3 linked regions of the Oryctolagus cuniculus genome follow. The main gene of each other region encodes a partner of the protein of the gene in region 2 in a complex. Links are inferred from orthologs where the notes say so. Each region holds a gene or a part of one and is shown on either strand. Other genes may lie near its edges.

Region 1 (10,003 bases), on a different chromosome or scaffold from region 2:
TGTTGCCTTCCCAGGCACATTAGCAGGAAGCTGGATTGGAAGCAGAGTAGCTAGGGTGTGAACCAGCATTCTGATATGTGACACTGGTGTCTCAGGTGGTGGTCTTACACATTGTACCACAACTCTGGTTCCCAAACCACTTTTTAAAAAAAAATTATTTTTAATTTATTTGAGAGGTAGGGTTACAGACATAGAGAGGGAGAGACAGAGAGAAAGTCTTCCATCTGCTGGTTCACTCCCCAGATGGCCACAACAGCCGGAGCTGAGCTGATCAGAAGCCAGAAGACAGGAGCTTCTTTGGAAGAGGAGCAGCCGGGACCAGAACTGGCGCCCATATGGGATGCTGCAGGTGGAGGCTTAGCCTACTATGCCACAGCGCCGGCCCCACAAAGTCCACTTTCAACCAAAGACTGTCCAGAACCGAGGCTAATCTTATTTTCCCTCATTCCACATTTGGCCACCTCACTCACTTGGCGCTGCTTAATTATGCTGTCTGCTCATTGCTGTGGCTTCAAGTAATAATACAGCTGTTCAAGCAACTGAAGCTGACAGTACACACTTAATGAACACTTCCTTGCATCCACTGTGGGTAGAAACAGACACATCACTCCTGGGTACTGTTCAACAAATGCTATCACACAAGTCAGTCACCACCCAAGCCCCCTCACACTCACCGACTTTAATCACTTTGTGTGGGCACCTCAATCAGTGCTTGCTGGATTGTGGGAGGACACTTGAGAAAAGCAGAAGCAAAAAAAAAAAAAAAAAAATCAATCAGGCTGCTGTCAGATCAGAGGCTATCCAAACCAGCAGGCAGGAGGGAAGGTTTTATGTGCCCTCCGCAGCGATGACAAACGGCTGAAGTCTAAAGTTCATTTGCCCTGAACTAAGCCTCCCACAAGGGAGACACAGGAAGAGACAGGATTATATCTGTCCAGGATCACCCTAGACCGTCCTGATTCTGCTTTGTGTTACAACCCAGAAGTCATCCAGGAGTCCTCTGAATTGGACAGTCAACATTTTTGGTACCAATCATGGAGTCTTCTGCACATAAGCCCCTCCCAGGTTCCTAATCTCCAGCCCTGTGTGAGACCCAGTTCCCTCTGATTTACCCCAAGAACACGTGGGTCACACAGAGCCAAAGGACCGCAGACCTGAGTCTCAGATATGGCGTCTCCACCTTCTCTCTCCGCACAGCACATCCGATGACTGAGTTCTGTGGTGGAGTCTCCCTGGGGGATAGCTCAAGCATTTAGCTCTCTTTCTCCATGGCCACTGCTGTAACCACTACGGTCCGGGCACTTCACCATATGTGAAGAGTCGCAACATCTCTAAGTGGTCACTCTGCTCCCTTCAAACCTCGCATCCACATGCGGTCAGGATGACTGGGCGCTGAACCAAAATCTCTCTAAGACGCCCTCCCAGGTAGAATCCTCTCACATCCTCCTTTGCCCTCAGAGAAACAACAACAGTAAGAGCCAACAATTACTGGGCACTTGATCTGTGCCAGGTACTGCCTATCTTATTTCAATCTTCACAGCAATCCCATGAGGGAGTACGACCTTTGTCACCATTAATTTCCAGGGCTCAGATACTCGACGGAGGTCCTACAGCTAGCAAATGGCAGAACCCTGGCTCACTCTTGGGCCTGTGGGGTCATCCGTCAGCCACCTTGCTAGCCTGCCCGTCTCTCCAGCCTCATGGCTCAGTGAGCTCTCTCTGTGTCTTGGGCTTCAGGCCATTGAAGCACCTGCAAGTCCTACACCTTGACATACTGCTTTGTGCCTCTGTTTTCTGTTGTTGTGATGGTGGTTGGTTGTTTGCTTTTGCATGAATCTCTCTCCCAGGATGCCTTCCCCCCTTGGTTTATTTGGTGGAATATCTCATCTTCCAAGACTCAATCCAAGTGTTTTCTGCTCCAGGAAACATCCTGACCCCTCTTCCCCTTGGAATTGAGGGCTCCCCACCTTGCTCATCGCTGTTCTTGATTATGCTTCCACTACAGCGAGCACAGTACGGACTCCCTTTACATGGATGAGTCGGACCTCCCTCTGACACGGCTGTGAATTCCTGAAAGGCTGCGGCTGTGACTTACTGATCTAGCACAGTGGTGAGCCCACAGAAATTTACTGCGAATGTACTGGATGAATGAAGATGTTTTTTGGAATATGAAACACGTTGCTTGGTTGGAATACCCCATGCACTATATTGTGTGATTTATATTACTTTTGCTTACAACATCAATAATATTGGTATACTGTATTTCTTCTTTGCTAAAGAACTGCATATGAAGCTTTGTGAAGGTATATGCAGCTTGAGGATAACTAAAACTCGACACCCTCCCAATTAGAGCAGTGGTTACAGGTCCAGCGATGATATTATGTCCACCTGCCACCTGGGAAGCTATTCAGTGATAACAGTGAACTGTCATTGTAAAAGCCAAATTTGATATTAGGCTTATATACATTTTTTTCTTATCAGAGTATGGCTGATTCACATTTGAACTGCAATATGTACGCAATAAAATAAAACTGATAAGACTAAAGTTAATCTAAGCATTTAATTTAAAAGCAAGACCACAGTCATGGAAAATCATGACCAACTCAAGACAGCGCATTGATGCTCTGCCAGAAAGCTCACCACTGCACCTGTGCACAGGTGGTGTGGCGGAAGCGACGGGACAGCCAGTCTCCCTGATGAACCAGCAGCCAAGTGTAGTTCCTAACTGATGCACTCCAGTCCTACCTCAAAACCAAGGAGATCGCCAACCTTCCCATCCGCCCTTGAGTCTCAGCTCCTTGGAGAGCTCCTGGAGAAAGTCTGTATACAGCTTCAAGGAACTTTGCCTCTTTCCTTTAGGGAGCTTATCTTCGTTTGCAATCACATAGTCAACACTCAGCTATTTTACTAGCAGCTGCCCGCAAAGCAATGACCTTGCCTAGTTTTATTCCCAGTGGGCAGTGCATTGATAGGGTCTCTACAAGCATTTTTAATGAATGAATGATTTCTTTCACTTCCTACCCACTCACTGCCCTGCTCCCTTAAAGATGACAAGCAGCTCCTTGCCAATCTGTACTCGCACTCACCCTATCCTTCTTGGTCACTGCCTGCCCCCACCCCCAAGGATCAGTCCTAATCCTCTCCTTCCTCCCCCACCCCCACCTCACAGTCAATGAACCTGAGAAGTGGTAGCATCTAACCAACTCAAACTTTCTGACAGACGTGGGTTCAGCTCAAGGTCACACAACACCGAGAAAGGGAGAAAATAAAAGAAAATGTGGTGGCTGGAGGAGCCATTAGGTGTTTTAAACAATTCACCTAGCTCCTTAAGTACCTGTTAATTCAGTAGAAACAATTTCAACTACTCCATTCTATCATATAAACAAAAATGGGGGTGATTTGCTGAATTTTTTTTATTTCTCAATACACTTTGGCCTAGCCTAGAAAAAGTCTTGGAAAAAAACTGAGTGTGCCTGTTGTTAACACGAAGGAAGCCACCTGTGTGATCTCTCAACAAAATGATCCGGGGGCCTCTGGGAGAGGCAGGGCCCTGCGTGCTAGGATTCTTCTGCACCTAAGGGTCTCGGACTGCACCTCCCTTCCTGCTACCCTGTTCTCCTCCAACTCCCTCTTTTACATCTCCCCAACTCCACAGAGCTTTTGGCCCTGGAACCCCTTCACAGAGGCAGGCCCAAGGCACCCTCCTTCTAAAGTACCTACAGGGGCACTTCACCCTGGGAGACGTGGGCTGGAGGCAGGAGAGACAGAGCCAGGTGGAACTGGCCAAGTTCTACTTTAAGGAAGAGCCAGCCGCTAGTGGCGCCTTCCATCCTGGAAATCTAGTGCAAGGCAGGAAACACCCTTCATTCGCTCCCCTCAGTACCAGACGCCACCGAGCGGGCGCACTTGCAAGGCCCCATGTCCTGAAGAGAAGAGGTCAGTACAGACTCCTGGGCTCTTCCCCAATGGCCTTTCTTCACAGGGCTGGCAGAGTTAAGCAAACGAGCTGTCTTCTCCTCAGTGGGCCCCCTACCCTGAAGACCCCCTTGAGAGGAAAGCTGAGCTGCTCCAAGGGAGAGCGCTGGACTTGAAGGCTGCCGGCAGTGGTGGTGACGTCATTTCCTGCTGGTATATTCAAAATGCAGGAGCGGAATAAAGTGCCAAGAGGAGGCCACAGGACAAGCAGAGCAGGCAGGATGCAGGTCAACAAGGTGGGCAGTAGGAACGGTGCTAGTCCAGGCAAACATTTGTATTATTGTTTGTTTTTTTTTAAATCACGTGCGTGTCTTATCTGTTGAAAACTAGAATCTTAAACTAATGAAAGATTAACCATCAGTCTGATCAGGCAAGTGGGAACTAACACCTTCGTGTGGTGCCCCCCGAGGCAAGGCAGCTGGTGGCCTGGACCAGGAATGCTGAGGGAGGGCACGGGGCCCAGCAGGACGGGTGCTGACGCTGTGGCCCTCCCCACGACACAAGTATACGCTAGAACGCCACCTGTCCCCGTCTCAACACAAGGAAAGTTCAATTTTCTGACCGCCTCACAGGCAGAGGCACAAGGCAGCACCCCCCAGCCTGCGTCTTAGTGCGCCCTCCGTCCATCCCCGACAGCGACCCGCAGCCCCTCTGGGCTGTCACTCAGCAGTAGGGTCCCCAGCCTGGGTCCTGATTCTTCCACGCTCCGCGACCAAGGCGTAAAGGTCCAAGCTCCCCAGGCTTGAGCCCCTCGTTCGGCCGCGATGCCAGTGGCTCCCAGACCCCCGTTCACCTGCTCTCCGAGCGTCCCCTGGTCTTACCTGGCGCCCCGGCCTGGGTTCCCTCGCACGGGGCAGCTGCAGCCCAGCGGCTGTGCGTCTCCACGAGGATGGGCTTGGGGTTAAGCTCAGGACGGCACGCGCGGGCCCCGCTCGCAATGGCAAGGTCACGATCTGGCAGGGGCGCGCCGCTCCCTGGTGCTCCCAGGGCCAGCCCTCGGGTCCGGCCTCAGCAGCCCCCGCAGACCCTCTGGGCGGCTGCGGCGGCCGCGACCTGGGAGCTCCGCCCCTCTCCAGTTCCCCGCCCGCCTGCCCCCTCGGGGTCCCAAAAGAGTCCAGCTCCGCTCCGAGCCCACCTGCGGGCTCCCTCTGCTCTCTATCCCGGCTCCCCTACCGTCTCTCCAGCCCAAACTGAAAGGAGCGGACTCCCCGAAGCTGGACGCCGAGGGCGCGCGTTCCCTCTCTCCAGGTCTGCGCGTCGCGTCTGGCGCCCGGGGGACGCTCAGGTCCTCTACCGTCACCGGCCCCAGCCTCGGGTCCTGCTGCTGCCGTCGGGAAGGTCCCCCTTCCCCTGCTTCCTTGGAGATGGAAAGCGGCTTAGTTTCTTGAGGGCTTACGACGATGACTTCTCTGCGCCAAGGATCGGACTTGTTTTTAAGAAAGGTCCATCGAGTCACAACGAAAGAAATATGAATCTCGTGCCAGAACTCTTACTCCTTCTGCAGGGCTCAGGTCAAGTGAGCGCCCACGCCGCGACCCTGTCTGTGCTGCAAACAGCTCCTCGCGGACGCTCGGGTGCCAAAGCGCGCTTGGTGCTCGCTTCTCCCGCTGCGCCGCGGCTCCTCCAGCGGACACCACTGTGGCTCTCGTAGGGCCGGCACCCGCCCTCTCCCTGTCCTGTCTCTGGCACGGCGCCTAGCACCCATCACCGTGCTCCAGTATTTTCTGAATAAGTGGGAAGTTAATTTGTTTTGTAGAGGACCGGTTTTTGCTTTTCGCCCTCAAATGAAGCCAACCCTTTTGGTGGGCAGTTTTCTAGTCTCTGTAACAATGCGCCGGTCCTCCCCACAAAAATACTCCCTTTAATGTAGTAATTCCACACTTGGAGAAATTTCCAGAACAAAATCAGACGCAAGTACAGATGTTCCTAACAAGATATTTGTGGCAGAAGATAACAACTGTAAAAAACACAAAATGCAAGTAAGGCCAATAGGAAACTGGTTAAATAAATTGTGGTAGGGTGACCTAATGAGATATTATACAGCCATCAAAATGATAAACACCAAGACGGAAGTGCCTTAAGTTCTTTTTAGAATAAGGAGAGAGCATTTATTTACAGATTTCAAAAGGGCAATGTGAACTAACACAGTATTTACAAATAATATTTACAAATAATGCTAAGTGAAAAATTTTAAAATTGCATAGATACCATGCTTAATAATTAATTTATAATAATTAATAAATTAGTTAATAAATTAATGTTAATAGATATAATTAATTAAATGCAAATGCAGATTTCTTCTCTGTAACCCTACCTTTTAAATGGGTGATTCAAGAAAAGGGTCTGATAAATAGTTGAGCAAAATGTTTTCATGTTGTGTCTTTACAGGAACACAGCCCGGCAGCCGGGGTGCCAAATCCTGGGGTCCACGTCTGCCCATGGGCTTCTCTTCCCTCAGATGAAGGGTGGGGGAGGGAGTAGGAGCTCAGCACCTGTTCAACACCTGCGTGCAGTCAAGGCGGGAATCTGGTTACCAAGAACAAGTGCCAAGGGTCTGCCTCACGCCCAAACACCCGCCATACAAGTTTGTGATGGGGGTACACAGCAAAATATCTTAGAGATTTTAGTTGGCTCCCAGAATCTCCTTGTCTGTGGCCAAAATGGGAATTCATTCAACCCAAAAGCTGAATGACATGGCTGTCTTGCTCCTTGATGGTCAGCTCACACCTGGGCGTGGTGCTCACATCTGGGTACTGACTTCAAGAAATTGTCACTCTGAACTAGTAGTACTGCCGCCATTTCAAAGCTGAAGAGACTGCCGCTTACAGTGCTACAGTAGCTAGGACTGGGCAGCCAGGAGGCAATAGCACCCAGACCTGAACTTGATCATCTCCAGCAGGTGCCTGATGGCTTTGCCAGTGTTTCCCAGAGTGTATATCTTCCCCCTACACATGGTTTGCTGTGGTAAACAGACAAGAACAGTAAATAACAGTGTATCATAAGGTGGAAAATCTTACTTTTTTTTTAATTCTCTTATTCCTATGGATTATGTCAAGGAAGAAATGTCATTTTTGTGATATTTGTCTTCACATCTCTCTAACACCGGCTAATCTGTTTTAAAAGAAAGCTTGCTCCCCACCCCCGAACCTTTGCTAGGCAACAGCTGCTAAGTAGAATTTAATATCATCACTTTCTCTTCCATCTGCTATTATCCTTTATGCAGTTAATATCTAAGTGATAATAGGTTTTCCGCTTACAAGGTGGTGTAGTTTGCATTGAAGACGAATGTACTTAAACAAGAAACATAGGCAATTTGAAAGGAACCAAGAGCACCAATACTTTTGGTGTAGGAAATTTACTTTGGGATTGTAGAATCCAAACATTCATGACATACAGAACCATGATCTAATTGCATGATAGACCTGAGAGATCATCTGAGCCCCTAACTGCTAACAACAGAATTCCCCTAGGAGCTTATTTGATAGCTATGCCAGAGGGAGACGAATATTCCGAAAGCCCCACAGAAGGACAAGGTGCTTCCACTGGAATCATTGCATCAAGGGGACGCTTGTTCAATGGGCAGCTCTTTGGGTTAGAAAGTTCTTCCTGCCCCATGCTCTATTATGATCAGAGCATGGATGATATGGTGGTGCAGATTTCTGTCCAAAATGAATGAGAACTTTCCAACCACCAGTGCGGTCTAGAGGCTGCTGAAGGGCTGCCTGGGAGGAGCCGGGAGGGGCGGGGACGACCGCCACCTTCCCTTCACTCCAGGGCAAGAAGCAGTGGCAGCTGCCTGCTTGTCAGAAATGAAGCCGCAGGAGCTCAGACGCTGCATGCACTACAACTTGTGACGTCCTACCAGCCAGGGAATCTGAGACTTGGTGGCATGCCTTCCCAGAGACCTGACTTCCGCAAAGACAGATTTTGATGTAAGTTGCATCAACTCCCTTTCAGGGTAAATCCCAGGGGAGAGCCCCAAGCAAGCCTTGAGCACCAGGAGCACCACTGTGACACTTGTACCAGGGAACAGGGCGCTAGCAGATTCTCCCTCAGGTAACTGGTCTAAGAGAGACAACGTTCTGGGAGATTTAACGGTGCTGGGGCATTTATTCACAATTCAGTCTTTGCTCCCTAACCACACATTCTTCTGGTATAGACTTGGTCTGCATCAATCCCCAAGGGCAAGAGCATGGGGCTCCCCCCTCTTTCCAGGCCCGCACTTCCCATCTCCAAGCTGACTTCCCCAAGGCAGCTGCCCCTACTGTTCACTTAAACCCATTTGGACCAGTGTAAAAACACATATGGTTAAAGAGGTACACCAAGGCTGGCGCTAATCCTCCGCCTTGCGGCGCCGGCACACCGGGTTCTAGTCCCGGTCGGGGCACCGGATTCTGTCCCGGTTGCCCCTCTTCCAGGCCAGCTCTCTGCTATGGCCAGGGAGTGCAGTGGAGGATGGCCCAAGTGCCTGGGCCCTGCACCCCATGGGAGACCAGGATAAGTACCTGGCTCCTGCCTTCGGATCATTGTGGTGCGCGGGCCGCAGCGCGCTGGCCGCAGCGGCCATTGGAGGGTGAACCAACGGCAAAGGAAGACCTTTCTCTCTGTCTCTCTCTCTCACTGTCCACTCTGCCTGTCAAAAAAAAAAGAGGTACACCATGTCTCCAGCAGTTAAAACTACCTCTGGGGAGGCTGGCATTTGGTTTCATGGTTAAGATGCCACTTGGGATGCCCACATCAGAGATCTGAGTTCGAATCCTGGCTCTGTTCCCAATTCCAGTTCCCTGCCAATGAGCACCTTGGGAGGCAGCAGAAGCTGACTCAAGCGCTTGGATCCCTGCCACCCCCACCCAGGTGCAAGACTTGGGTTGAGTTCCCGGTTGTTGCAGGCATTTGGGCAGTGACCCAGCAGACAGAGGTCTTTGTCTTTCTTTCTCTCACTGTCTCTCTGCCTTTCATAAAAATTTAAAATAATGACTTTTTAAAAATACTTTTGGTGTGGAAATTTACTTTGGAATTGTAGAATCTTAAATATCCATTATACACAGAATCATGGTCTAATTGCATGAAGTATCTGAGAGATTATCGGAGCCCTTAATTGCTAAGAACAGAATACCCCAAGGAGCTTATTTGATAGCTAAGTTAGAGGGAGAAGAATATTGAGACAGTCTCATAGAAGGATAGATTGATTTCACTGGAATAATTGCATCAAGGGGAAGCTTGTCCAACTGGCAGCTCTTGGACTAGAAAGTACTTCCTTTCTCACTTAGAGTAATATCCATGGCCCATTAAAGTCTGCATAGCCCATGCCTGGTTTTCTAGTTTGTTTTTTAAATATCCTGTATTCTTGTGCTTGCTTCGGCAGCACACATACTAAAAAATTGGAACAATACAGAGAAGTTTAGCATGGTCCCTGCGCAAGGATGACCCGCAAATTCATGAAGCGTTCCATATTTAAAAATAAAATAAAATAAAATAAAATAAAATAAAATAAATTTTCTGTATTCTTGCCTGACTCCACATACTGGCTTCCTGCTAGTCTTTGAATGCACCCGGTTCATCCTGCCTTGAAATCTGCATTTCCTTCTCTGCCTGGAGTGCTTTTCTCCCTCTCTTCCTTTGCTCTCTATTCAAGTGCTACCTCTTCAGAGAGGGGCTCATCTGGGATGCCTGTCCTTGAATGACACAGCTCCTCCTTCCCCGACTCCACTCCTATTTCCTTACCTCCTTTGCTATTGTTTTAGGGTGTTGTAAACTTCACTGATGGGTCTATGATTTGGGTGTGGTTGTCCCTACCAAAACCCTTACTAAAATTTTATTCCCAGCATAGTTGTTTTGGGAGGTGGGGCCTTTGAGAAGTGAGTGAGTCATGGAGGCTCTGCCCTCATGAATAAATTAATGCAGTCTCCATGGAGTTCTTGGTGCCTTGGGACTGGATTGGCTACTCAGAGTGAGTTTTACAAAGTGAGCCTGGCACCTCTCCTCCCTCTCATCACACATGCTTGTCTCTGCATGCACCTGCTTGACT
Region 2 (10,003 bases):
TCCCACCCTCCTTTGAATGGTGGCTTATGTAACTGGTCCTCCTCCTGAACTCTGCAGTCTGTGGAGTATTCCTTTATGCATGAGGACTGTCTGCCCAAATAGATTATAGAGTCTTTAACGACTTTGTATGCCTCGGGCATCTGGCATAAGACACTGCCTGCACTGGCAGTCTGCGAGCGTGTTTGTGGATGATGTAGGTGAGTGGCATTCTTTTGTTTATCCATCACTTACTGAGGATCTGTTCTCGGCTAGGCACGCTCTTGGGTGTCAGGAAAGCTGAAGTCCAGGCTTTCAAGCGGCTCCTGATCCTGGAGGGAAGGGGAGGGAGGGAGGAGGTGAGGGGGGCTGAGAGATAAGGATGAAGCATCCCCACAGGCGTGTCTGGATTACCCCTACAGGTTTTCTTCCCCAGGAGATGCCTTTAGAAGAGCAAAACCACTGTGTGAGACTGAACTATGCCTTTTTTGTTTTCTTTTCCAGTCCCCTAGGGACACAGTGATGTGCTTGTGGGGGTGGGTGTCCTTCTCAGGGCACCATAGACGTGAAGGTTTTACCATTTTTCCCCCTAAAGTTCAATGCTCTTACTGTTTTGTTCTTTGCTTTTGAGGTCTCTGGTAACTGCCCTGAATTTTCAAAATGGTCTATTGTCTATTGCTAATTTGCTTTTATGTGATATGTATTTCTGGAAAATCTACTTGTTCTTTAAAGTACAAACGTCCCCTTTCCTGGGAGGACAGAAGGAATTATTCCTTCCTTTTTCTTTCTTTACATTGTGACTTCTATCACAACTTTAATACAACCTGACTTCACTTTGTGTTTCATTTTGGCTGTTCAGAGGCTCATTATTCCTTTAGACTATTAAGCCTACTGAGGGTAAAGACCATATCTTATCTTAGTAGGCGTGTCTTCTTGGACCTTCACCACTAGTTACTGATACAGGGTAGGTAATGAGTAAATGCTTGTTGATTAAAAACCTGGAATTTTGTAATAGGATCCATGTTTAGTTCCCTAACGCTTCTAGGACAGAGTCAACATCAGTAATTTCTGCATGGATTGTTTGATTTTGGTTGTAGGAATATTTGCTAGGCACATGCTTTCCAGATAATATCAAAGAATTTTTGGATTCATCTGCATTCAGATTAGGACTTTCTTTTCCTGCTTCCTTCTTGACACCTAGACATTGTTTTATCACTAGAGTTTTGGTTTTCCTCACTTCTTGATTTGTTCCTAATACTTGTCATGACAATTCATATATCTAGTAACAGCCAGCCAGGGTATGTCTCTGATGCTGAGAATAGGGGATGACAAAAGTTTATATCTGAGATCTGTTGAAGCAGTTTAATTTCTTTCATCAAGCAATAGGTCAAATGTACTGATAGTCTTCTGATAGTTTTCTGGCACACTTTGAAAGACATTTTCAAGTCTCAGAGGACACTAGGCTAGGAAACCCAATTTGAAGCTCAAGAGAGCTATTTGGTTTCCAGTGTTTTGTATTTCTCCTACTCACATATATCCATGTATTACAGGATACAACCATATCAGGTTTTCCCGTGAAGCCATTTTACATCACTGCATATTGAATGCCATTCTTTTCATTTCTTTTGTCACTGATATTTAAATTTTCATTCCATAGCAAGTGTAGTGGTTCTTTGTAGTCATTCGTATAAATTTGCTCATTCTACTCTCCTGGCCAAGGTGAAACTCAATCATTTTCCTTGGCCAAAAATCCTTTTAAAAAATATAGATTTTATGTTTTGATGGCTTGCTTAATCTAAGTGCTGGCTTGGAGTGTGTGTGAAGGGCTGGAGGAAATGATAAATGAAGGAAGGAAGTCGCACACCTGGTGTCCATGAACCCAGGGTGCATTCCTGGCCTGCAGCAGTAGCACAGCCGTGGCACCAGGAGCATCTCCCAGCAAACGTGGAACAGCGATTCTCTTCAGAAAACACCATTTACCCTGAAGACCTCGGTTTCCATCAAGGCTGGAGGCGGAAGAGCTTGGCTTTTTGCAGCTTTCAGGCCAAATCAAGCCTGAAGGAGCAAACTTCTTGTTGTTACTTATCGGGAAGATCACCACGAAACACATACGCAACACTTTTACATAAACTTAACCGGAAGTGGAAAAGGAAAAATAAGAAAAAAAAAAACCTAGAAACAAATCTTGATTTTCCCATTTAAAATTTTTTATTCTTTTCTTTCATCCCGCACGGATTTACATGCTCCCAGAAGCCACCCATAAGTTCCATCTCGGTGGAGCAGGGTACATTCGGTGACTTGGCTGTGAAAACATCGCGTGCCTTTTCAAAAACGAGGAGCATCTGTAAAACGGAAACAAGAACAACAGAAAACCAAAACCAAAATCACCTCAACAGCATGAAAAGTTGGAGCCTGCCAGGAAGCTCCCGGCAACTTGGGCAGCTTCATTTTTCTGCTCAGATTTCTATCTCAAGTGAATTGCAGGGTCCTCGCCCCCTACCCCTCGGGGAGGCAGTGACCACTCCTCTCCGGCCACAGCCCACCCGGAGAGAATCGTATTTTCTAAGATTCAACTGGGGTCAGTAGTGACGAGAGGCAGCTTCTAACCGAATGGCGTTTGAGGAATAACCTCGGGAAAAGACAGAGGCCACCGCACAGCGGCCTCGCGGAGCCGGGCAGGGGGTCTCCGGCGCTGCCAGCGGGGAGCCGGGCAGGGGGTCTCCGGCGCCAGCCGGTGCATGGGCTCGGGGCCGACTCCCGCGGCTTCCAGGCGGGGCCGAGGCGGCGCTCCGGGGCTGGTGGGCTGAGAGGCAGGCGGAGGCCGCCATATTCCCGCTCCACCACGCCCGGGCGGCCGCAGGTTGCCGGGGTTCCGGCCCGCGGTCGCAGCCGCCCGCTCAACCCGAGCGGCTGTCAGCGGGCCCTGCCCCTAGCCGAGGGCGGCTGCGTCCGCCGGAGCCCGCCGGCCTCCACGGAGGGCGCGGGAGAGGGCGGCGCCCGCGGAGCCTGAGGGGGCCGGCCCAGTCAGGGAGCTGCGCGAGCGAGGCGAGAGCCGCACTGGGCGGCGCGGCGCGCGGCTGCGAGCCCAGGGAGAGCCTTCCAAGAGGGGCCGGGCGGCTCCGCCTCCCGCGCCCGTCCCTCCGCCTCCGCCTCCTGCCCCTCCTCCTCCTCCGCCTCCTCCCGCCGCCGCCGCTGCCGCCGCCGCCGCCGCCTCCCTCCCGGATCTGTGCTCCAGTTCAGAGAAAGAAGAAAATGTGTGTGTGTGGCGAGGGGGAGGGCGATCACTGAGCAGCCGCTCCGCGCCTGGCAATCGGGGCCGGGGGTGGGCGTTTGGCGGAGGCGGAGGCGGAGGCGGAGGCGGAGGAGCGCGCGGCGGGCCGGGCCGGCGAGCGGGGTTTGCGCGCTTAGCCGGGCGGTGGGCGCGGGCAGGGCCGCGGGCGCCCGGGAGCCGTGTCAGGCGGCGGCGAGGAGCGGGCGCGCCGGGTGCGGGGAGCGGTCGGCGGCCGCTCGCTAGGGGGGCGCCCCGGTGGATGTGCTCTCGCCGCCGGGCGCAAACCGTAGGGGAGCCTCGGCGGCGGCGCGGGGGGCGAGGCGGGCTGCCCGTTCCCGGGGAAGGAGGCGCGGGCGTCTGAGCGAGGCCGGGCGCGGCGGCCTTCCCTTGCGCGCCCCCCGAGCCAGCGCCCGCGGCCGCCTCCCGCGCCCGCCTCGCTCCGCCGGGCGGCGAAGGCCTCCTGCGCCCGCCTAGACCCCGGCCCACCTGGTGGCCCCGGCCCTGGCCGTCGCCCCCGCGGCGGTTCCGCGATCTCATCCCGGACGCGCGCCCAGGCGGCGGGGGCTCAGCGGCCACCGCTGCCTCGGGGGAGCGAGGGCGGGAGGGTGTGTGTGTGCGCGCGTGTGAGCAGGGGGTGCCGGCGGGGCTGCAGCGGAGGCACTTTGGAAGAATGACTCTGGAGTCCATCATGGCGTGCTGCCTGAGCGAGGAGGCCAAGGAAGCCCGGCGGATCAACGACGAGATCGAGCGGCAGCTCCGCAGGGACAAGCGGGACGCCCGCCGGGAGCTCAAACTGCTGCTACTGGGTGAGTACGGCCCGGGCCGGCCGTGCGGGCCCTCCCCCGGGCCTCTGCGCGCCCCCAGCCCCCGCCTCCGGCCCCTCCGGGCAGCCGCCCCCAGCCCCCGGGCTCGCCCCTACCCTCCCCGGGCGCGCCCCCGGCCTCCACCCGCACCCGCGCGGGTACGCGCGCGCGCGCACACACACGCCCGTGCGCGCGGAGGGTTCGGGGCTGCCTTGTTGGGTGCCTCGGCGCGTGCTGTCTTGTGTGTCCCTTGTTGTGGGGGGGGCTTGCGTTCTCTGCGGTGTCTCTGCTCAATGGCAGATCAGATCTGGCTAGGGGCGCGGGGCTGGGAAGGTGGGCTGAGGGCTTGAACTTGCAGCGCCGGGGCCGCCGCGCCCCCAGGGGTGGTGGAGCTGTGTGTGTGTGTGTGTGTGTGTGTGTGTATGTCGCCCGGAGGGTGGCGAGCCGAGCCGGGGCACAGGGCGCGGGCGGGCGGGGGGGAGATGGCGCGCCGTGAGGTGGCCGTTGTGCATCCATTATCGGTGCGTTCTGGGGTCCAGGAGAAGTGGGGGAGCCACCGGTGGGCAGACTGGCGAGTGGGATCCCCAGGGGTGAAAACTAGAAGCCCAGCAGGGGTCGACCCTCCCCAGCCAGGGGTTCGTGGGGTGGGGGCGGGGAGGGCGGGCAAGCCCCCGTGTGTCACCCGAGTGTTCTTCTGCAGCCACCAGGCCACCCACAGGAGGGGCCCAGCAGAGTTTCTTGGCCAGTGGATGGTGGCAGGCGTGCTTCTCGGCTGCACCATTCCTTCCGGATTAGGACCGGGGCGAGGGGAGCGTGGCTGGCGTGGTTGTTGACAGCGACGGGTATCTTTTGTCTAATGAGGCATCCCAGATCTAGGCCTGAATTCACAACAGTACCGCAGCCTTTCCGTCCCTCTCCGGGGGAAAGAGAGAAACCTTTTGTTTGAAACGGACAGCATTGTAGTGTCTTGGGCATCAGGGCTGCAAAGGAAAATTTCCCTCTGGTCTCTGAATCAACAGCCCCGCGTTCTGCTTTCACGCGAAGTTAGCAAGAGAATGCCGTCTCTCGAATAGGCGTCTATGGATGATTACCTCCGAGAGAATGCTCGGAATCAGGCCACCAGGGTTCACAGACAAGCCAGCGTGAGGGCACCCGGAGCTATTGTGGTCGGCAGAGGCCTGGAGGACGTCTGCACTTGTGTTCTGCGTGTTTGTGTGTGCATAATAAATGCGCGTCTCCGACAGGAGAGAGTGTGGTCTGGGCAGTTCGGGTGGCAGAAGCCTGTATTCCCTCTCTTATCTTGAGCATTCCATCTGCTGGAGAACCAACTGTCTTTGGGGACTCAACTGCTCGTGCACTGGATCCTTTGCAAACAGGAACAAAATAACAGGGCCACCCGTACTTACGAATGGCTACTCTGCTCGCCGGGCTGTGTGTCTTCCTTCTGAAGCCCTGTTAGACAAATGTACACAGGTTCATAAAGGAACAGAAGGCAGCGGGCTGGGGGGAAGAGGTGGGCTTGAGGCCGTGAAGCCGGGGGAGGGAAACACTGCGCTTGGAAAGTGAGGTTCTTTAAAAAAATATATTTTTTTTAAATTTTATTCTCATTTTGGAGGTTGAACATTTTCTGAATTCTCGGGATTGAGAAGAAAGTGGAGAGAACAAGGGAAGGTGTTTAAATACAGAATTCAGGGGAGAAAACATGTGGTGAAGAGAGACTTGTTTGAAGAGCTGGGTTTTCTTTTCCTTTTGCCCTGTTTACTGCCTTTATTTGTTTCTGTTTAGCTGTGAACAGGGCGTCTAAGGTCTCTGCAGTCAGCTCTGTTGGCCTGAACTATGACAGCTCTGGGTTTCCCAGCAGCTGTGCCTTAGCACAGGGGCTTTGTCAGAGGGCCTGGGTTTGAATGCCCAAGAGGGAAGAACACTTCCATAGAGGCTTAATTACATGCCCTGTGCTGTGCTTTTATGGAATGAACCGGGAGATCATTTTCTGAGGAAAGAAAAATGTAAGGTACAGTTTCACAGCTTACGTGGTGGTGGTGTGGAGACTTCGCTCTTATTAGACATTTCAGTAGGGTTTCATATGGCCCACCTCATCCCCATACTATGGCCCATTAGAAGTGGTAGAAAAATAGGATATTAATTGAGCATCTACATTCATGAGTGCCATTTGAAAATGCATCTCTCTGACAGAAGCTTGATCCTCACACATCGTTAGGAATTCCTACTTCATGTTCTAGGCGTGTGGCTTTTGTGACTTAACCAGTGCAGTGCCCACACTACTCACGTGGTAAAGATAGGTGCTGAATGTAGATGTGTGCCTGTGTGTGAATGGTGGGTGAGTCCAGGAGGGAGCCGAGGGCTGAGCTGAGCAGGGAAGGGTAACGGGGCGGCTTCCGGCAGAGGGATTTCTGCTGTGCTGCTCTGATGAGTACCCTGAATTTTCCCGATCCTTCCTTCATTTACACAGAGCCTACCCCGAGGGAGGGGGTTACAGAATGTGTTCTCTCAGAGTGTCTAAAGATCTGGTATTTTAAACTACCTACTTAAATGGAGGAATCAACCTTATAGTAAATGAAATGCAAGATAAAATTATTTTCAAAGTAAATTTTAATTTAAGACATGGCAGCATTTAAAGGAATTGTGTGGTAGGGATAAATGTGTGTACCCTTGCATTTGTTCACACAACTATTTAATATATATTAATAATATGGAGGAATTAGAGAAGGAAAGTAGTGTTTGGCTGACGACACAGAAGTGTGGCAGTAGAATTTGTGCTGTTTTGATTCATATCCAGCCATTATGGTAATGTCTTCCAAATTTATTCTGCAGTACTTGCATATTTTAATTTTTAATCTTTTTAAAAATGAACCCTGAAATCTACCACCTTAAGAATATCTTCTTAATTTCTGAGTTCATATTTTCTTAAAATTATTCTCTTAATTTATTTACTTTAGTGATTGTTTTCTTTGACACCTAAGGAAACTTTGTATTCTACATAGACATACAAAAGCATGCTCTGTTTTAACTTTACTGCTGTTTTTATGTATTTTCTAGGTGAAAAGTACATTATATTTGCTTTGATTAATATTCATGAATTCACTAAATATTTCTTTCAGTAGTACATGGGCCACACCATTTAATATTAATTTGTCTTCAGGTCTGTAAAACAAGTTGTCCCAAATGCTTGCCTTGGGTTATAGATGTTCATTGTGAAATTGTTTTCAATTCCTAGAAGATACACTTTTTCCCCTCTTAACCTGCTCTTATTTTATGCATGTTTGACATCTTTTCTGTTTAGATCATAATCATCAAATAGGAAGATTTTGCGAATTTGGGAGGGAGAGGGAGGGAGAGGTAGAGAAGAGAGAGCAGGAAGGGGAGGCAGAGAAGGAAGTGAGAGAAGGAAGGCAAAGTTTAGGTCAATGTTAAATGAATGCGGTCTTGGTTTTCTGAACTGAATTACATGCATGGCTGTAGATTTTATTCCTATTCTGCACTGCAAGATTGTAGGCATGGAGATTGTGTCTATTTGGTTCACTATTAAATCTCAGCTTGTTGTACATGTTCTAACTCATAGAATGCCCTCAGAAAGTATTTGCTGAATGAAAGATTTTATTTGTGACCCTCCTGCTAGAAGTTGGGATCTGATAATAATGAATAAATTATAAGAGCCAGAGGGATAGGTAATGTTTTTATCTACAGCACATAAAATCATGATCTTTTGAAAATTGTATGTGGCTGTTGGAGCCAGTTGGTTACAAATGCATCACATAGTTGATCCTGTATATTACAGTTCTGTGCTGGGTACACTGCGAATGGAACAGTCTTGCCCAAAGTGAAAATTTAAAGGAAAAAAACCTGTTGTCATCTTGATTACCTTTTTATCATGTAGTGGGTGGTTTAACCCTGTTGTCTTTTTGCCAGACATTTTTCTCTATGATGCACTTAGCAGAGTGAATTTTTAATATTCTGTTGAGAACAGATGATGACCAAACAGATTTTTGTGATTTACTTAACAATGTTACATGAGGAAAACCACAATGGGTAAATACAGAATTCTAGGGATTGCAGATGGAACATTTTTTGATACAAGGGGCATACATCTTGTACTGAACGCTGAACAGTTGGAGAGCAAGAAGAGACTCGGAAGCCTGGGAATGTTCTGGCCAATTTAGACTATATGGAGGGTTCATTCATGCACACCTTTGGATCAAAGCACCCTTCCCTCTGTCCTTAGTAGACTGGGGATGGGGGAGGGCTGGGCAGGTTGATGGCTGCAGTTAACCTAGAGGCTGCTGGCTGTCTAGAGGTGCTCCTTAGAACTCTAGAATGAAAGCATTTCTCCACCAACCCTAATAATATCATCTCCCTGGAAAGACCAGAATATGGTGTTGATGAAGCTGCTTTAAGGATCAGCCAGTTTTATTTTTTGCTACTGTTAGCTTCTGAGTGTTGAGTATGTTTCTAAATGTCAGGATTTATTTGGATGCATTCCCTCTTTTTTATTTTTTTTATTCCTTTGATCAAAGTCCTTAAAGTTTATACCTGAAGAGTGAAGTGGAGACATCCGTCATGAAAATCTGCCTGTAGCCCTGACTGTGTAGCAGTGCCTTCAGAGTGAGATCTTGTATTGAGCTATGTGGATGGCATGTGACAGTCAGTCCTGTGCTTAGGTTATTTCTTCCTGTGGGCACTTTGGCCCGGATTCAAACCCTACCCAACAGTGAATTTATTTCGTGAGTATCTGTTCAGATATTTTTAGGTGAGTTTGGAAAGGAGAACCAGAAGAATAATTTAATAGCCATTTTGTTTACTACAAATAACTTTGATAACCTCCTTTTCATAAAAAAAAAAACAACAACAACAGCAATTCAGCTTCACTGTTTGAGAGATGGCTTAGGTTCAGTTTTCAGAAGTGTCTGTAGTTAGAATTTTTATTACACATGGATTTTTAAGGGCCTGAAAAAGCTTTTGTAGTTGTGAGGCTGCATGTGATACTAAACTTAGCTGAAAAAAGGAAGAGATTTTTCTTTATGATCCAGACAAGCTTATACTTGAAAAGAAATTAAGATTTTCCAAGGATGATCGTGATTCCTGCATTCATATTAATTTTTCTCCTGGGAGACTTATTAGTTCTATTGATGTTAATGGAAATGTTGATTGGGTGTTGTAGAGGGAAAACATAGCTCTCAAAGGGACTATCTTGGAAGAGAGAGAAGCCATTTTATAAAGGTTGAGGGTAAGTTTCTCCCTAAGAAGGTCAGAGAATCTGTTTCCTTGAGATTCAGTGCATTGGATTGAAGGAAATACACATATTGAGAGTAGAAAATTTCCTGGTTGAAGGGGGAAGTAGTGACGTAATTCAGGGAGATTTTTATAAAGGCTTTTAAGTAATGTTAAGATCTCTGCAGAATTAATCGGAGGAAAGTGTGAAGTAGCAATAGAAGGTAAAATGTGTGATTGTTGGTAATTAAATCAGTGACAGTAACTGGCTACAGTAAACAGTGAACATTTTCTCTTGTTCTGCCGAATGGAGTAACATTAAAGAAAGAGCTATTCTGAGACTCAAACGCTATGTTGTGTGAACAGCTGTTACTAATAAAATTATAGGAAGTTGTTTGACAATCACCTGTGATTTGTTTCTTTACTGATATGTAAAAATCTGATTTTAACATGTAGTAAGTAGGAAAAAGGAGCTAAACATACTCAAAATGAGGTAATAAATCTTAGGTGGTCTTGAATTCGGTCTTTACAAACTAAGTAAATACCCATATTACAGTGTTCAGATCCCCAACTTTAATTTGCCATGTAGCTCTGTGGTTTATCTGTAGACCTAGCTATAATTTCTGAAATCAGTGCAGGATATTTTGTTAAAAGCCTTTGTGGTTAAATTTTACTTTGTTTTTAAATGTTTATTTATTTGCAAGGCAGAATGATAGCTAGATCTTCC
Region 3 (10,003 bases), about 92 Mb from region 2:
ATGGGTTCAGACAGGATTGCCTTGATAGTCTATCCATAGGTACTACCTTCCGGGGGATGACAGGAGAGCAGAAGTCAGACCAGGGATTCAGAAGATGGGCAATTCAGTTCTCGCAGGGTTTAGAGGATCTGCATGGCTCTGTCCATATGATGGCTGCTAAGTATGGCACAAAAAAAACAAACAATGTGACACAATACAAGAACCAGCCTTTTCTTTAAAGGGGCTCTACAGAACATGAAAGCTGCTGATGACTTAAATTCGCTTTCCAGTGGGATGTTGGTTCTGCATATATGCAAAGTCATACCGCATCTCTGTTGTGAGCACAGACAGCATACAACTGACTGATAGTAGCTGTTTGTATAAGGGACATTCACGTACCAGTGGGTATTAACTGAGGAATAGGTAATATGCAAGGATGTGTAGGTAATAGGTATTATTAGGGTGAGCTTTGGCTAATGTTTTAGTCTTTATGATAATATCTGGATAGGTGAAGGTGAAAGTCACCCTTATTTCTGTGAGTAATATCTAGAGGAGGATAACATCTATATGTTTCTAAGTCCCACCTGATCCAATGTGGGTTGCATTTAAGCTTAGGTCATATCTAAGGAAGTGTTGTAAGGTTTGAATGAGCAGATCTTTGAATATAATTTATGTATCCTGAAGTTGTTACCTATGAAATGATATGTCATCTAGGGAGACTTGGAGAAACCCAAGTACATATGTTACATATGTTAATGGGGGTCAGTCCAAGTGATGATCACAATAGATGAATGAGCAAATAATATCCAAGTATGTGTGGGCAGTTTTTAAGAGGTATGGATGTGAACTGTTAACACTTTAGATTATTCTAAGTTAAAATGTTAATCTGATTGAGTGAAATAGCTGAGTATCTGAAGTAATATTTGAGTCTTTGCAGGTAATATCTAAATATGGAAGAATAATAGCTGTGAGTTTAAGGGCAGCATCTAGAGAAGGGCTAGTTAAACATGAGAATGTGTGATTTTGTGTAGCTAATGATAAAATGAAAGTGTTTGATTGGTGGGTAACATCTAAATGATTGGGTGACATTTAAGTAAATGTGAATAACCTCTATTTCTGTGGGTAGCATCTAAGTGAAAATGGGTTATACTCAAGTCTGCATAGATTATGTAAGAATAAAGTGGGCAAAATTTACATTTCTGTTGGTAATGTTGTAGTAAGTGTGGGCAGCATGTGCACCTGTGGGATAATAGCTGAGTGAATGTGACTAACAGGCACTCCATATGACACCTGACTGCCCGGGTAACGTCAGAATGTATGTGAGCAATAATATCCAGATAAGTGAAGACTATTTTTGCACCTGCACTCTGAATCATGTCACATCTTGCTTTCTCAAGGATCCTTGCTCTATTAACTATTCCTTTCTCACCTCTTTCTCACCTACACCTTCAATCTTCCATTCTCTTTGCACATTTCCTACCAATTAAAAATTTTTTTTCTATCTACCACATATACAAACACCCAAAAGACAAAACTACACACACACACACACACACACACACACACCATACACCTTCCTCAACCCCATGCTAATTTTGGCATAATCCTATTTCTCTTTTTATCTCTATCTCTTATACCAAACTTCTTGAAAGTCTGTTTACACACCCTGCTTTACTTCTCATATTCTCTCTCAACCACCAGCCCAATTGCCACCCTACTCTAGTCAGATCTTAAAAATTTCTCCTAAGGAATTTCTTGTTGTTGAAATATGCTATTCTGGGCCAGCGCCGTGACTCACTTGGTTAATTCTCTGCCTGCAGCACCGGCATCCCACGTGGGCGCCGGGTTCTAGTCCCGGTTGCTCCTCTTCCAGTCCAGCTCTCTGCTGTGGCCTAGGAAGGCAGTGGAGGATGGCCCAAGTGTTTGGGCCCAAGCACCCGCATGGGAGACCAGCAAGAAGCACCTGGCTCCTGACTTTGGATCAGCACAGCGCCAGCCGTGGCGGCCATTTAGGGGGTGAACCAACGGAAGGAAGACCTTTCTCTCTGTCTCTCTCTCACTATCTAACTCTATCTGTCAAATAAATTTTTAAAAAAAGTTAAAAAAAAGAAATATCCTGTTCTGTCATTTGAATTACATTTGCAACATTCAACATTGCTTCACCTACTATGCTTATCACTCTTTTTCCTTGCCTTCTGGAAGGACACAACTCTTGTCTCTCTGATGGCTTTTTTCTGGATATCTTTCACGGAATCTTCTTCCTGTGCCTGGTTTTTAAATACTGGTCTTCCACAGGGTCCTCTTTCAGGGCCTCTTTTCTTCTCATTCTACACAATCTTTGTATGACTTCATCTATTGCTCTGACTTCCATTACCTCCTGTAAGCAATGACCTTTTGAATCTATATTTCCAGCTCAGACCCTTCCAGTAAGTTCCAGGCCTCCAAATTCAACAGCTGAATGGGTAACCCCACTGGAAAGTCTCCCCAGTATTTAAATTCAGTGGGTTCCAAACAGCTAATAATCCCTTCTTCCAAATCTATTTCTAGCTGTCTGTTGCCTTCATTACATAGCACCAACATTCATTCAATTGTCCAAGCCAGAAACCTAGTTGTCATCCCTTGACCTCTTCAATCCTCTCCACTTATAATCAATTCCAAATTCTGTTGATTCCATTTCCAGAAGTGGCTCTCAAATCCATTCACTTCTCTGTACTCTACTGCAAGTATCTTAGTGTAAGCTAGCATCATATTTCTCCCAGAACAGTGTAATACAATAGCCTCTGAAGTATTCCTCTGCATTCCGTTTTATGTTCTTCAATCCGTCCTCTACACTACAGAGTGAATCCTGGCAGTACTACTCAATCTTTCAGTAGATCCATTTGCTCTTGGGATAAACTCTATGCTCTGTAGCCAGGTCTTTAAGGTGCTCCATAAACACACTGACTGGTCTGCAGCCTGAGTGTTTATTTCTCTTTAATGGTACACAGCTGCTCAGAAATGATGTCACACTGAACAAAGGTGACACAGATTTAAACTTTAAGGTTTTATTTATTTATTTATTACATATCCTGTTCCTGTGCTAGGGATGCTTTCTGCTTCTTGTGTTCTTTCATGTGGCTGGCTGTCCCTCACCTTTTTGGTTTCAATGCATAACTTACCTGCTCAGAGGCTGACCTTAATTCCCAAGGCAAAGCTAGGCTGCAGGTGGTTCTCTTGTATTTCCATTGTGTTCCCCTGGCAAGACAATTTGTGCTGCCATTCCCTGCTTACTCTTTCTCCCCCACTAAACTTGGAGATCCATGAAGTAGGAATTGTGTCCATTTTGTTCAACTCACGTCCCCTCTGCCTGATACAATCTCTGTTTCAATAAATATTTGCTGAATGAGGGAATCTAAGTGACAGCATGTAACATTGGGCTGAGAAAGCATAGGTTATTGTATGGAGTAAATAGGCATTTGGATTACAGTTGATTTCCAACTTTCTCTTCTTGGGTTTAGAATGATTTTCTTCTCCTTAACATTGCTCTCTGTCCTATAGCCCCACTCCTTCCTTTTCTGCCTTCTAAACTCAAGACCTGCTGAACTTGAAGACCCAGCTCCCAACTTCCATCCTCTGAAGTTCTTGGACTTTCACCTCCTTAGGGTTCAGACCTTCTCATGAGAGTTCCATGCTGACTGTGCTTCTTTCCATTGGCTCATCTCCCCCTTCCACCTGACCATGGACTCATGAGAGTACAGAAGGGGTCTAGTTCACCTCTGTGTCTCCCAACACCTAGCCTAGGGACTACAATATCAAGCGTTCAGGAAACACTAAAGGAAAGGAAAGGTGCAGGAGAGGGAAAAACGTATTTTGAGATGGCTGCTGATGGGAACGGTGAAAGTCATTTGGAAAACCGAGTAACTGGCAGCAATCTGAAGGGGAGGTGAGGAGAGGAGATGGTGACACAAACAGATGGGGTGAAGGGGGAAACCAGGTTCTAGGAGGTGTGAGGAGAGGCTGGATAGGAAGCTTGAAAGGGATTTGGAGACATTACATGGAGATAGAAAAAGAGAGAGCACACACGGCCTTGAGAACTCCAGCTTGGGAGGACAAAGGTTTGAGGATGAGTGAATTGGAGACAAGAGCTGTAAGGACCATCACCCAGTGTCCATCCTAATTCAGACTTGAGGATATTAGTAGAGGCAGGACGAGGGGTGGGATGTGGGACACAGGAGATTACAACCCTAACTTCCCAGAGTGCTCCCTCCCTCAACCAGCACCTTCCCTTCCTAAAATTGCCTGCCTCTTTCTTCCCTTCCCAGTTGTGGCTCTGAAGAGGATGGAAAAGGCAGATATATACAGGTGTCAGCCAAAGGAGGAGGTCCTTGCCTCCCAATTGTCTATGTGATGGGGAGGGGGCTGCATGTTGGGGTGGTCAGGGGACCAGGATGTGAAGGGGTTCTAACTAGGGGACGGGAAGCTGTGATGGAGTTGTAGGAGCTGCGGGGGCAGCTCTGAATGTGTGAGGGGGGTGTTCGGGGGCTGGGAGAATAGTACTAGGAGGGGATCCCGTGGCGTTTGGATATGCAATGTTAAGATCATCGTGGGGGTCTCTATGAGTGTTATGGGGTGCAGTGAGAAGGAGCTTGTGGCGCGGGCGTAGGGAGGCACCCACCTCGTGTCCCGGCTCCGCGGATGCGCGGGGGCTCGCAGCTGAGGTTGCCGGTACCGCTGTTGTTGAGGAGGGGGCCACCCGGGCGGCACAGGGAAGCCACCGGTCCGGATCCGGATCCCTGCACGCTCCGGTTCAGCTTTAGCAGCTCCATGGCCCCCGCCGAGCCCGCCACCTCGCTCAGCTCAGCCAGGGGGGCTCCCGCCGCGGCTCCACCTGCTCGCGCTGCGACGCGGCTCCCGCCGCGATCCGGCTCCCGCCTACTCCACCCCCGCCCTGCCCGGTCGCAGCCTCCGGCCCTGGCCCCCGCCCTCCACTCGCACTCGGCTCGCCCCGCCTAAGCCTGTCCCTCCCCGGCTCTGAGCTGCTTGTCCCGCCAGGTGACTCTCCGCCCCCCAGCCCGGTTCGGGAGTTACGCGCCCACTACGTGACTGTCAGCCTCGCCTCCTTGCAAGCCTCCCCCGTCTTCCTTGGAGATGGTTTTTCTGCCCAACCTTCTTCACCACCGCCCCCGACTCTGGGGAAGAAGTCTCTCTCTCTCTCTCTCTCTCTCTCTCTCTCTCTCTCTCTCTCTCTCTGTGTGTGTGTGTGTGTGTGTGTGGTGGGGAAAGGCGGGTAGGAGGGCTAGGGCATGGCGCCCTGCCGCGGATCCAACACCTTTACCCCGGGAATTCAGGGGATGTGGAGGTGGCGTTGGAAACAGGGTCTATGCACCTGGGGTCACCCGCTGCGGCACCGGTGCCCTCGCCTTTCCGTACTGTGCCGCAGTGGCTGCTAAGATCGCTACCCAATCGCTACAGTCGTTTCTTGCAGCTCCTCGCTTCGGGCTGGGCAGCCCCTGCATCTGTCCCCCCACACTTCACCTCCTATCTAAGGCTCAATACCCAGGCTTCCAAGCGACCCTTAGTAATGGGACAGGAGTGAGGGGGCAGCATTTGCCTCCAGGGGAGCTTTGGCAGGGGAAGGGCTGCCCAGGGCAAGAGTCTGCCTCGGGGGTGAGGGAGACTGGAGGTGCGCCGAGAAATGTGCAAGATAAACCCCGAATCGGGTGAGGATGGAATATGGGTCCAACTCTGGCCGGCCGGGGGCCCAGGGAAAAGAGGGGAGGAGGCGGCTGGCTGTCTGCGGTCTCCAGGCAGCGCCCACCTTCTCCTGACACGCTAGGCTTCCTGTTTGCTCTCAGCGCAGGTGGAGCCGCCTGTGTAGGGTGTCAAGTTCCCACGAGAGGGGGTTGGAAGGGAGCTGGGTCATTGGGGTGCAGCGGGAACAAAGCTGAAGGTACGCGTGCAGGATGCGAGCATGGTCAGCTTCTTGAGGCAGCATTGCCTCCTGTGCGTTCCAGTCCTGCCCGCTATCCTTCCGCCACTCCAAAGAAACTGCGATAAGACCAGAAATTTCATATTCTGACCCCAGCAGTAGCTGTTAAGAGGTTGGGGCAAAAGTGGAAGAACAGATTAGAGAGAGAGAATAGGGTCTGGATTTATGCGGAATTTGGAGAGCCCTTGTTCAATAAGTCTCTTGGAGAGAGGACATGCTCCAACTAGAGTTGAGTTTATAGGGGCTGAAACCTTGCAGAAGGGTTGAAGCTGGGATGGATGAGGATGTCCTCACCTGCTCCACCTTCCCTTCCACCTGGCACTGCCTGCCTTACCCATCAGAGAGCCCTGGACCAGAAGAGCTTGGTTTGCTGTTTATTCGGCTGGAGCACAGGTGGAGCTTTAGATAACCTGCTGAACCTTTCCCACATCGGATGGTTGTAAGGCCGAGGGAACAAAGAAAAGGTGGGGGAGCAGGAGTGGAAGTAGAACTAGATGAACATTCACTTGTTCAGCAAACCATTTTATAAGTAAGGGCTGTGCACTAGCTGTCCTATACAGTGTCCCTGAGTAGCACCAACTGTAATGAAAATTTTCCCAACTATGCCAGTGATTGCAATGTATGACCATAAGTGCATCCACCAAGATGCACAAATAAGAAATGTAGGAGTCATCTTTATTGCCTTACTCCCCTGTATCCCTCATTCCTGTAATGGAGGCTGTGACGCAAGCCCAGACTCATAGTCAAAAATGAAGGATTTATTCTTCAGTTGCTGAGAGTTCTGCTGGAATAGAGCCCTCAGCTGTCAGTCCCTTTCAGGAGTTGCCTGAGCAGAAGCAAGCCAGCTTACCCAAAGTCATGTTTCCTTTCTGGAGCACAGATCAGCTCAGAGGTATAAAGGTTAAGTGCCCTCATTCCCCTGGAGGACACCTCTGAAAGATGTTCATAAACCCAGTTGGGACAAAATGACTGCAGCGTCCCACTTTGTCCAACCTTATTTTCATCCTCTCTCTTTCACAGGTGTTGACTCCAAGAGCATTCATTAGTAAACATCCTTCACAGTAATCTCTGTTTTAGAGTCTGCTTCCTGGGAAATATGACTACATCATTCCCATATTCAATCATTCATGAAATCCTGTTGATTTTAGCTACCGAGTTCTCCTTGCTTTGGTCGGCTTGTGCAGCTACTGATACTGGCCTAAAATCTCCTGCATTAGTTTTAGCCTCTTAAGGAATCACATTTAAATGATGGCTCCTTACATACATCCTGCACCTTATAGCCAGAGTAATATGTGCAGAATACAAATCTGATTATGTTGTTCTTATGACTTCCACTTTGGGATGGAGAAAACCTTTTTTTTTTATTTTTGACAGGCAGAGTGGACAGTGAGAGAGAGAGAGACAGAGAGAAGGATCTTCCTTTGCTGTTGGTTCACCCTCCAATGGCCGGCGCGGCCGGCGCACTGCAGCCGGTGCACCGCGCTGATCCAAAGGCAGGAGCCAGGTGCTTCTCCTGGTCTCCTATGGGGTGCAGGGCCCAAGCACTTGGGCCATCCTCCACTGTACTCCCAGGCCACAGCAGAGAGCTGGCCTGGAAGAGGGGCAAGTGGGACAGAATTCGGCGCCCCGACCGGGAATAGAACCCGGTGTGCCGGCGCCGCAAGGTGGAGGATTAGCCTAGTGAGCTGCGGCACTGGCCAGAGAAAACCTTTTAACAGGATCTACAAAACCCCCATGATCTGGCTCCTGCTGACCTCTCTAGCCAGTTTATTTCAAGTCATTATGAATCTCGTTCTTTCTATTGTAGACATGATGGTCTTCCCCTACTTCCCACCCCATACCTTTTTTGTTGTTTGCAATATGTCCTCCAGTTACATGGCTTTTGCCATACTCTCTGGAAGCATCTCCTTTCCATTATTATCTAATTAATTTATTTATCTGATCTTAGCCCAAAAGCAATTTCTCAGAGATGATTCTCCTGGCTTCTTCTGGGATAGTTGGAATTATAAAATGACCCCAGTGACTTTACCCTTGTATAATCTCCATGAGTATCTATCTATGATGAGGTATTATGCCCATATGTATTTTGTTATAAGACAAAGATATATTTCAGGTAGAATTAATGTTACTAATCAAGTGACCTCAAGCTAGTGATATCATTTAACTAGTCTTAAACAAATTACAAGAGTAAAAGCTAATAGTTTTCAGCTGGGCACCAGCAGAAGCAATCTGAGAGATTTGAGGAGTTGGTGGGATTCAACACACTTTTGATGGCTCAAAGATGGAGGGGACCATGTGGCGAGGAGTTGGGTAGCTGCTACTGGCTTGAGGATGGAGGAAGGCACAGGGAAAGCACATGAAAGAGGCCTTTAGCTCTCAGCAGTCCTCAGGCAACAGCCAGCAAAAGAACAAGGCTGTCAGTCATTCCCCACTCCTCTAGAACATGATTCAGTCTGGCTGACATGTTGTGGTACCCTGGGCACAAAACCCAGCCACACCATGTAGATTTCTAACCAACGGATCTGTGAGTTAACAAACAGGTGTTGTTTGAAGCCACTAAGTGGATGTTACAGAATTAGTAGAAGAATAATGCTCCTTCCAATCAGGAGGCAGCAAAGGCAGACCTTTGCAAACCAGGCTAGGAAGAAGTGGGAACACAGGAAATCTGTTAAGATTTAGAAAGATTTGGCAAGATTGCAGTGGCAGCTGTGTGGAAAGCAACTCAAGGGGCAACACTAATGGGACTGCATAAGAGTCATTCAGGTGAGAGGTGACAGTGGCTTGAACTAAAGTTATGAAAGTGGTAGAAAGGATGGATTCAGGATCTCTCTCTCTCTCTCTCTCTCTAAAGATCTATTTACTTATTTGAAAGCCAGAGTGACCGAGATCAATTATCTGCTGGTTTACTCCCCAGTTGGTTGCAATAGTAGAGAAATGGATCAGGCCAAAGCCAGGAACCAGGAACTCCATATGGGTCTCCCACATGCGTGACAGGGCCCAAGAACTTGCCATCAGCTTCTTTCTCAGACATGTTAGCAAGGAGCTGGATTGAAAGCAGAAGAGCTGGGACTCAAATTGGTACTCTGATATGGGATGTAAGCTTGTAAACAGCAGCTTAACCTGCTGCACCACAACTCTGGCCTCTCAGATCTCTTTAGGAGGGTAAAAGCCAAATTTAAATGGTTTGCATGAAGAGGGTAATGGGGAAGGAGGAAATAAAAATTAGTAAGATTTCTGGTAACTGGGTAGCAACTGTATGATGATCACCTACTGTGTTCCAGGCACGTTACCCTTAATTGCATTTATTCCTCATAGGGAACTATAAATACAGGCCCAATGTCACTAACCGTGATTTTAGATGAAAAAACTGACAGAGTGAGAGAGAGAGAGAGTGTTTCAGTAACTTTCCTAAGGCCACAAAGCTACTAGGTGAAAGAGCCAGAATTCAAAGTCAGCAATTTTAGAAATCAGGATTCAGCTCATACAATTCTGCATCCCACAGTAGAAGTCTTACTAAATTTCTTCAATCACCTTCTTTTTCCCATTTTACACAGTATTTTTTCTCAAATTTTCTGGACTCATAAAATCTCTAATTCAGTCTCCCATCCTGACACACACACACTCTCCCTTCACTCTCAATAAAATAAATAACCTTGACTTCAACCAAACAGAGAAAATAGTAACTAGCAGAGAGCAACTCCCACAAGCAAATCTGTTCTGTCGTGAATATGTTAAGTTTCAGATGCCAATTAGACATCTAAGAAGAAATTCCAGAAGAAATCTGAGTACACAGCTTGTGTAGGAAATAATGCAAACCACAGAATGAAGGAGAGTGTGTAGAATATGCAGAAATAGGGACCAGGTCAGATTTCTGGAGAAGACCATTGTTTAAAGACTGTATAGAGAAAGACAAGCCCATAAAAGAATTAGAGGAACAGACAGAGAGAGAGGATGAAAAGGAGAGAAACAGCATGGAAGCAAAAGGAAAAGAGGCTCACGGAAAGAGTGATGGACTCATTGAAATGATGCTCCTGCATTGAGAAAATGAGGACTGAG

What was found.
Region 1: the proteins of guanine nucleotide-binding protein G(q) subunit alpha (region 2) and CASR are in contact, whole or in part, in a cryo-EM structure (PDB 8SZG), measured with the Homo sapiens proteins. The link is inferred for Oryctolagus cuniculus from reciprocal best matches to the Homo sapiens genes GNAQ and CASR. Residues at the interface, in NP_002063.2 of Homo sapiens: His63, Leu196, Gln197, Ser198, Ile323, Tyr325, Ile337, Arg338, Phe339, Phe341, Ala342, Lys345, Asp346, Ile348, Leu349, Gln350, Leu351, Asn352, Leu353, Glu355, Tyr356, Leu358, Val359; in NP_000379.3 of Homo sapiens: Lys644, Ala645, Asn647, Arg701, Val702, Leu704, Val705, Phe706, Ala708, Lys709, Ile710, Pro711, Thr712, Phe714, Phe801, Arg873, Thr876, Ala877, His879, Ala880, Phe881, Val883, Ala884, Arg886, Ala887, Thr888, Leu889.
Region 3: the proteins of guanine nucleotide-binding protein G(q) subunit alpha (region 2) and CCKBR are in contact, whole or in part, in a cryo-EM structure (PDB 7F8W), measured with the Homo sapiens proteins. The link is inferred for Oryctolagus cuniculus from reciprocal best matches to the Homo sapiens genes GNAQ and CCKBR. Residues at the interface, in NP_002063.2 of Homo sapiens: Arg30, Arg34, Asp35, Arg37, Arg38, Leu40, Ser198, Val199, Phe341, Lys345, Asp346, Ile348, Leu349, Gln350, Asn352, Leu353, Lys354, Glu355, Tyr356, Asn357, Leu358, Val359; in NP_795344.1 of Homo sapiens: Thr87, Val88, Thr89, Asn90, Glu151, Arg152, Ala155, Ile156, Pro159, Leu160, Ala162, Arg163, Val164, Trp165, Gln166, Thr167, Ile241, Leu245, Gly248, Leu249, Val331, Leu335, His394, Arg396, Phe397.

The regions. Positions count from the first base shown.
Region 1 is NC_091435.1:78,388,981-78,398,983, reverse strand, and holds the start of CASR (extracellular calcium-sensing receptor), read right to left. Parts: upstream 4,993-10,003; 5' UTR 4,797-4,992; intron 1-4,796. UniProt on the Homo sapiens protein: G-protein-coupled receptor that senses changes in the extracellular concentration of calcium ions and plays a key role in maintaining calcium homeostasis.
Region 2 is NC_091432.1:152,214,512-152,224,514, forward strand, and holds the start of guanine nucleotide-binding protein G(q) subunit alpha, read left to right. Parts: upstream 1-3,726; 5' UTR 3,727-3,917; coding exon 3,918-4,053; intron 4,054-10,003. Other genes in the region: uncharacterized protein, read right to left, coding at 2,213-2,318, 2,584-2,804.
Region 3 is NC_091432.1:60,622,598-60,632,600, forward strand, and holds the start of CCKBR (gastrin/cholecystokinin type B receptor), read right to left. Parts: upstream 5,182-10,003; 5' UTR 4,785-5,181; coding exon 4,634-4,784; intron 4,616-4,633; exon of another isoform or gene 1-4,615. UniProt on the Homo sapiens protein: Receptor for gastrin and cholecystokinin. The CCK-B receptors occur throughout the central nervous system where they modulate anxiety, analgesia, arousal, and neuroleptic activity.